Linked DNA regions of Drosophila melanogaster. The protein of the gene in region 1 purifies or fractionates together with the protein of each later gene. This does not show direct contact. Each region holds a gene or a part of one and is shown in the gene's direction. Other genes may lie near its edges. The genes, in order: CaBP1 and CG1092.

Region 1 (4,570 bases):
TATGACACGTTGCAAAATGGCATTCGATGATAAAATAAAAAGGAATCTCACGGTTCAGGACCACACTCGAAAAAAAGGCCAGGAGACTGTATATTGTGTGTACATATGTACATATATGTGAACAAAAAGCTGATATGAAATATTTTCCTTATCTAAAATGCGCCTTAAAAATCAAGCTACATCTACATATTAATAGAAATTCCATTTAGCTCACTAGTATTTATATTTCATTGCTCTTTATGTTATATATACATTTTTATAATATACTTTATACCTTATATATAAAAAAAATTTTTTTTTTTGCTTTATACACTCATTTTTCATTTTTTTATTTTTTATTTAATACATATATATTTTTTTATAAAAGTAGCAAAAAGAAAGTTATTTTTGCAAGTGAGCACACTCATAAACGCCCCACATCTGCAAGATTGAAGTCACTGACAGACGCACATCCTTCGGGAAAGGTGTTTTGACAGGGCGTCAGGCAAGTCAGAAGTGCAGACACAACAACAGGAGCAATGGCAACAAGGGGTTAATATTTATGCCGCACCCTCACCGTAGCGTATCAATAAAAAGATCGCTCCGCTGGGCATTCAAATTGTTTGTTTGATAAGCCAGTGTGGCGAAGTACGAGCACTGAAACGAATTCTAACTTAGTGATAAACCTAGAAATAATAATATTAAGCTAGATTCATCTTTAAATTTAATATTAAACTTATTGCGCAGATATTGTAATAAAGTAATGTGGTGGTTTCTTTTTTATGTGTCTAATATTTATGTTTTATTAGATATTATTTTTTTCAGTGCTGTAAGTTTATCTGGGGCCAGACTCTCTTTTACCGAAGTTAATACAAATATTACGCCTTTTTATGCTGAAAGCAAAAAGTGCAGGCCAAATGTGGCATAAACTTTACTTTTGGAAAAAAGGGTTGGCCACACCCACCGGTTTTGTAGCCGCCCGAGAAGTTATGACATTGTGTCATTGAATCTTTATGTGTGCATTCGATATGCATTAAAATTCAATAATCATAAAAATAACACGCAAAATAAAGGGAAAATCCAGTCCCCCCGACTGAACAGCTCCCTCCAATTAACCCTTGAATGGCAGAAAAGGAAATTGTCTGACTCTGTGTCTTTCTGTGCCAATATGAACGTCACATAAATCTTGGCAACACTACTACTAAGTCGCTATTAAGTAAAATTGACCACATATTTTATCTCATATGCGCACGCAACGAACGTAGACGAAAATGGCGAGGGTCAGGGGTCATTCGAATGTTGGCTGGTGGGTGGGGAGGGCAGTGGGAGAACAAGCTGGAGAGCCAGAACAATGTGCGAGTAAATTAAGCCAAAGCTTCCAGAAAACACAAATCAAACAAAACGTTGGGAAAGGAAACAATTAAAATGGGGAATTAACAAGGTAAATACAATTAAGGATAGTAGGCTGAAATGAAAGAGAGAAAATGTTATATTATATAAAATCATTTAACCAATAAATTGTTTTATATATGTACCTTTGTTTTTTCAATATTCTTAATATTGTTGCCTGTTGCTTACTAAAAATAATGCAGTTAACTTTTACAGTGAGAGAAATAAATAGATAATTTAATCTACCTTAGAGATAAAGAAAGCAGTACATTGGGGTAGTAGAAGTAGAACTTTGTCATTCTACGTCAAAAGTATCATCACTGAAATTTGCAAGTTTTTTGCATTGGTTTTAATGAATGTGTTAAGAAATCAACCTTGAAATAGCCGCCAAATCACACAGTGTTGTCAATAAGCTCATTTTTAACTTATCTGGCAGCTCTGAAGGATTTTTAGAACCAGTCTAAAATACCGAAATATATCGATAGTGGCAATAAACTTCTCGGACCATTTTCCTTTCGTTATTTGTACGTATATATAATTAGAATTACAAATAAAATCACGCCTTTGTTTTTGTAAAAGTATATAAGATTTGGCTTATTTCACATTATCAGCAGTATCCGCATTTGCCGGCTTCTACATCGATAGTCACAAAGTATTGAAACGCCTATCGAACTATCGAGAGTACGCCGCACTCGCAGTGACGTGTACTCTTTTTTTTTAGCAAAATATAAGCCGCATCTCTACACATAGTTTAGTTTAAAAGAGCCTATCGACAAGACGCGTTGATTAAGAATTTGTTGAGATAAACTCGCAAGAGATAGACACGTAAGCGGTTTCGCAAACTCAAAAAAGAAAGATGAGGCAACTGGGTAAGTTTCCGGCCCATGCACGAAATAGACAAATTATGTTAATAATACATTTTCAATACGCCCCCGCAGCGAGCATTTTGTTGCTGGCATTTGTCGTGGGCAGCGTTAGTGCCTTCTATTCGCCCAGCGATGGCGTTGTGGAGCTGACGCCCTCGAATTTCGACCGGGAGGTGCTGAAAGACGACGCCATCTGGGTCGTGGAGTTCTATGCTCCATGGTGCGGCCATTGTCAGAGCCTGGTGCCCGAGTACAAGAAGCTGGCCAAGGCATTGAAGGGAGTCGTGAAAGTGGGCTCCGTGAATGCCGATGCGGACAGCACGCTGAGTGGCCAGTTCGGTGTACGTGGCTTTCCCACCATCAAGATCTTTGGCGCCAACAAGAAGTCGCCCACGGACTACAATGGTCAGCGAACCGCTAAGGCCATCGCTGAAGCCGCTCTGGCGGAGGTCAAGAAGAAGGTGCAGGGTGTCCTGGGCGGCGGCGGTGGATCGTCTTCCGGCGGTTCCGGCAGCTCGTCCGGCGATGATGTCATCGAACTCACCGAGGACAACTTTGACAAACTGGTCCTGAACTCCGACGACATATGGCTGGTGGAATTCTTCGCCCCCTGGTGTGGTCACTGCAAGAACCTGGCACCCGAATGGGCCAAGGCCGCCAAAGAATTGAAGGGCAAGGTTAAGTTGGGCGCCCTGGATGCCACCGCGCATCAGAGCAAGGCCGCCGAATACAATGTGCGTGGGTATCCTACCATTAAGTTCTTCCCTGCGGGCTCCAAGCGAGCCAGTGATGCCCAGGAGTATGATGGCGGACGCACTGCCTCGGATATTGTATCCTGGGCCAGTGACAAGCATGTGGCCAATGTGCCAGCACCCGAACTCATCGAGATTATCAATGAATCGACTTTTGAAACTGCCTGCGAAGGAAAGCCATTGTGCGTCGTGTCCGTTCTGCCACACATTCTCGACTGCGATGCCAAGTGCCGCAACAAGTTCCTCGACACATTGCGCACCCTGGGCGAGAAGTTCAAGCAGAAGCAATGGGGCTGGGCCTGGGCAGAAGGTGGCCAGCAGTTGGCCCTGGAAGAGTCGCTCGAAGTGGGCGGATTCGGCTATCCGGCCATGGCTGTGGTCAACTTCAAGAAGATGAAATTCTCCGTGCTCAAGGGCTCCTTCTCCAAGGACGGCATCAACGAGTTCCTGCGCGACATCTCCTACGGACGTGGCCACACGGCGCCTGTTCGCGGAGCCAAAAAGCCGGCGATTGTGTCCGTGGATCCTTGGGACGGCAAAGATGGCCAACTGCCCACCGAGGAGGACATCGATCTGAGCGACATCGATCTGGATAAGGACGAGCTGTAAGGCTGTGAGGATCGGAAATCAAGACTGTGCGGCCCAAGCTCAAATTTCCACTTATTAAACTAACAAACACTTGCATTCTGAATGATATTCATTAGTCAGCCATCGTATCTAAATATAAATAACTCTTAATTATCTTTTAGCGTTTTTCTACAATCCTCACATAGATCTAAACGAATCGAAACCAACGATCATATAAACTATGTACCACAAAATGAATAAACTGTGCAACAAAACGTGTAAATTCTGGGCAAGTGTTAATCGGGTTCGGAAAAGCGCGTTTCGTGCTTAGCGAGTTTAAAAAAATGCATAAGTTGAATTTTATACAAAGAAAAGAATTCTTAATATCCGTAAAATTCAGTTTACATTTTCTTCCTTATGGAAATGAGTTTGGCTTATGAATAGATCATTCTTCAGTTATTTCTTTGAAATGAATCATCAAATATGCTTGTTTTCTTCAAAAACTCAATAGCACCATCACATCCAAGAATCAACAAGTGATATACATATTAGTTTTTTATGTATTCCAACGTAGCGCTGTATAAATATAAAGTTATTGTAAATCAATGAATTTAATATAGAATACAGAAGAATTAGTTCATTACCACCCCAAATTCCAATAAAATGTGTGAGAATTTTACCGTTGGGTGAGGTAAAACCATTTATTTTATGTAAAACTCACATAAAAATGTCCAAAAAGATTTGTATATAAACTTTGATAGACTTAATGCTATATAACGTCTAAAAACGTTTTTTTTGACACAATATATAGAAGGATACTCATGCTGGTCTAAATGCACAAACTGAAGATTTCTTAAATGTATTCGTGGCGGCAGATTGGCGCTTAAACTATGATTGGCATGGTACAATTATTAAGTACTTGGTTTCGATTTAAGTACAACCTGTGTATATAAAGGGACGGGAATCGGCGTTTTAAAATGTAGTGCAAAATTCGAGGCATCACGAAGAGTTCGTCTG
Region 2 (4,132 bases), on another chromosome or scaffold:
TTAAATCAAATACCAACAGAATGCAGATATTCAAAAACACATAACAATATTGGAATAACTTATGTAGAACCAAACATAATTTTAACTTGGAAATTATCAAAAATTGTATTAAATCAAAACTGTATAATTAATAGAGAAATTATAATAGAAGGAGACAATATAATAAAAGCTTTTAATTGTTCTGTTCAAATAGAAAACATATTAATTACAAGCACAACACTAGACTACACACAAACGGTCTATATCAATAACAATGTAACAAAATTAGAACCATTATCATATCTAAATGCTAAAGAAATAATTAAAGAACACACTAATACATACAACACATTACAAATTATTACATTAACTATACTTGCTATTATAATACTTACACTTATACTATATTTTATTTATAAATATAAAGGCATTCCCAAAAAACTAATTGTTAAATATAAAAAAGAGAATCCACAACAAATAGAACAACAAAATAACACAACAACAGAAAATATAAATACAGTATTTGATACTAATCCTGTATTGTATCCTAGAATATCCGCCTGAGGACAGGCTAAATTTAAAGGATGGGGAAGTAGCATATGTGCCATAGTATAAGACCACATATACTTACACACACACATACATAACCACATAGGAACAGCCATACACAAAATCATAGAATGCCTTAGGATATAAGTCATAAAATCATGTATCCAATAAGAACCCAAATTCTGGTGACAATAACAAATCCAGCCTACCCTAATGTAAACATTAACATCCGCTGCCGAATCAGTTATTCCCACCAAAGGGTCAAAACCGCTTACGCAGCTCAAGTTCTCGGCTGATCAGTACCCATGAGTGATCCACTCAAGAAGGCACCCAATCCAACAGACATAAACATCCGCAGCCGCATTCGCGACTCCCACCAGAGGGTCAAAACTGCTAACACAGCTTTAAGGGTCAAAACTTTCCACGTAGCTCAAACTCGGCTGATCTATATCCATGCGCAATCCACTCAAGAGAGCGCCTAATTAACGTAAACATAAATGAGAGCCTATGTACGCTCAATATGAAGAAGTAAATAAGCTCAGCCAAGGGTTTGCTAAGCGTTCGCTTTGCAAATTAGATTTAGATTTTATTCATACTTCAATTGTGTAAGACGTGAATTTGTCTCCGACATTCGCTTAAGTTTTTGATCAATAAAAATACTTTTTTTTTATAAACCAACAAATATAATATAATATATGTATATTATGTATGTATATGTATATTTAAATCATTCCTTTCATAAGCAACTGCACACTGTTGTCTACGCTTAGTCAGATATAACTCGTAATACTTGTGAAACGATGCAAAGCCCATATTCCAGAATAGCGCGATCGTAAAAACAGTGGGAGAGAAATTTTCCTGATAGGACTTGACATTCTTATCGCTTCGGAAATATAATTAAGCATAGGAACTCACTCACTGAATTAAAATAAGACCTCGAATTGAGCAATGCACTGTGGTGCGAGTGTAATAAGATCATATATAAATCCGTTCTAATAATTCAACAATATAAAAACAACAAACAACCCGAGAACTTTCGGGTGTTTTTGCATTTTCAAGTAAAAATGATAAAATAGGAATGTGAGCGTTTAATTGGTTTTTAGACCGTTTATATGTGCGCGATAAAATAAAAAAGGTAAAACGGTAAAGATTGATTATTGTGATTTTGGAGAACTGTTTGTAACTGTCTGCAACAAAACGTTCTTCTAAAGTCCGGATAAATTTTTGGTTAAACACGTTGAAGAAGCATAAGTTGAAAATGTTGAAAACACACCATAAAAACATATACTGAGTTGCACTAATAGGGCATTTTTCAATACTATCTATGCTTTTCAAACGTTCATTATGATAAAAATAAATTATGTCAATGTCAGCCCACAATCATTTAATTATTGTCCACTTGGACAGAAAATCTTTTTAAATATTGTCAAAAGTAATAAAAAAGTTTTTACTAAAAATTGAAACATTCAATAAGTTATTTTAGTTATTTAATACCAGGGGATACGGAGTTTTGTGCTTACATTTCAATTGAAGTTAAATAGTTTCGTTGCCCAGTGATAGACGTATTTGAAAAGTGACTCTCTCTCGAACTACTGTGCAACGAAATCCGACATCCGTTGAGGGGTCCGATAGGCTGGCGCAAAAGCTGGGTTGCCAGTGACTTGAGCTCTGCGATGACAACCTCAAGTCTTGCAATCGGCGCATCCGTAGCGCTTATTCTGTTGATGTTGACTGGTTCAGGGCATTGCCAAGTGGGATACGTGCGGCACCTGTCGGAGCTGCGGATAAGGGAACTTGAAAAATTGTCGGTTCGTATACAGGGCTCCATCAACACCGAAAAGTATGCCTGCGAGAGCTATTTCGACTACGTCTGTAGCCGCAATCGACCCCTCTTTTCGATCATGGGTAAGTGAGGAAAGCCTGTGTTGGGGGAGTGCCTAATGCATATACCCTATCCAAGGACACATGCCGCAAATGGGCGATCTTATGCAGTTGCTGACCGAGCTGCAGAACGATCCAGAGCCATTCGAGGCTAAGCAGAAGACGCTGGACTTCTTCATCTCCTGCAACGTGCACCACGCGCTGGAAGACTGCTATCGTGAGACCTATGAGTATTTCAAGCCACTTTTCGGGTATATAGTTACAAAAAACATGCTCAATGGAGAATCCCACGAGCTGGATGACTTTCTGGGCATTTTGGACCGCTTCGTCGTCAGGTTTCAGAAGGACAGAGAGTCGAATCCCATTCTCAGCAAGCTGGCCACGTATAAGCAGAAATTTAAAACGCCGCGAGTCTACTTCCATGCTAGAGACCTGAGCCGGGAGTACAAGGACCTGCGGATCTACCGGGAGAGCTACGAACACAACGTTCGCAATCTGGAGCAGCACAGAAAACTGAATTCAACATACGAATTGGGGGTTCAGCGCACCATGCTGGATTGGAGCATGTACCTCTTTCAGAGCCGCAACAAGCCCATGTCCTACTTCTACTCCACGTTTACGGTCCATTTGTACATGATGCTTTTTAATAGTCTGGAGCGTCAGCGTGATTTCACGCGGTTTCGCGAAGATGTGGAGTGTTTAAGGCTGCCGCAGTTCGTTAATGTTCTGGATGAGGCCAGAATGCTGGCTGTGATCTACTTAAAGAGCTTCCGAGCGGCCTGGATAGACTACAGCGCCTGGATCAACTCGCCTCCACAGAACAGTGGGATATACGATCAGGAAAATGGCGTCCTTCAAAAGTACCATCTTGACAACAAGCGTATATTTTTTACTCTTTACGCTCAGAACTTCTGTGAGTTTGGGAAGGATCTGGCCGAGCATGTCTTCTATCTGGGCCTTAAACAGAACAAGGACTTTTACGACATATACTCTTGTGGATTCCAAACGGAAAACCCTATGACTTGTGTTTAAAAGATCAAGACCATTTCTACCATATATTTAGTTTACGAGATACAATAAAAGCAATAACATTCTCATAAAGGTGTACAAACCATTTGAAAAAAATGGCTTTCACTAAAAAACAAGCGAAGTTAAGATACCCAAATATCAGATACCCGTTACTCAGCTAGTGAAAGAGCAAACGAGAAATTTCTTCCATATCGATTGAAGTTGGGAAAAAAATAAAAAAAAGAAATATATAATAAAAAATTTTGAAAGCGTGGGTCATGCATACGGGCGGCTTGTGGCCAAAAACTGAAATGTAAAACAAGAGAGAATGCTTAAGTCGAGTTGCACGACTATCAGATACCCGTTACTCAGCTAGTGCGAATGCGAACGCGAAATTTCATAATTTTTCTGGGATATCGATAGATGGGGAATAAAATGAAAAACAAATTAAAAATGGCTTAAAAGTGTGGGCGTGACCGGTTTGGAAGCTTAAGGTCGTTAGAGTGGACGTGAAAAAAATTGTTTGGCTAACCGATAGAATATTACAAGACTTATAAAATTATGAAAAAAATGTAAACATTTTGCAATAGTGTGGGCGTGGCAGTTTTGGGCGGTTTTAGGGCGTTAGAGTGGGCGTGGCAAATTTTTTTGGCAAATCGATAGAAATTTACAAGTCTAATAAAATTATAAAAACATATCAAAACATTTTTCAAAA

What was found.
Region 2: the proteins of CaBP1 (region 1) and CG1092 purify together in Drosophila melanogaster (affinity purification with mass spectrometry, with the first as the bait; one large-scale study listed by BioGRID). This does not show direct contact.

The regions. Positions count from the first base shown.
Region 1 is NT_033779.5:16,354,207-16,358,776, reverse strand, and holds CaBP1 (calcium-binding protein 1), read left to right. Parts: upstream 1-2,041; 5' UTR 2,042-2,224; coding exon 2,225-2,237; intron 2,238-2,306; coding exon 2,307-3,595; 3' UTR 3,596-3,891; downstream 3,892-4,570. UniProt on the Drosophila melanogaster protein: Binds to both apoptotic cells and phagocytes and promotes Drpr-dependent phagocytosis of apoptotic cells.
Region 2 is NT_033777.3:4,264,773-4,268,904, forward strand, and holds CG1092 (uncharacterized protein), read left to right. Parts: upstream 1-1,997; 5' UTR 1,998-2,201; coding exon 2,202-2,433; intron 2,434-2,488; coding exon 2,489-3,441; 3' UTR 3,442-3,544; downstream 3,545-4,132.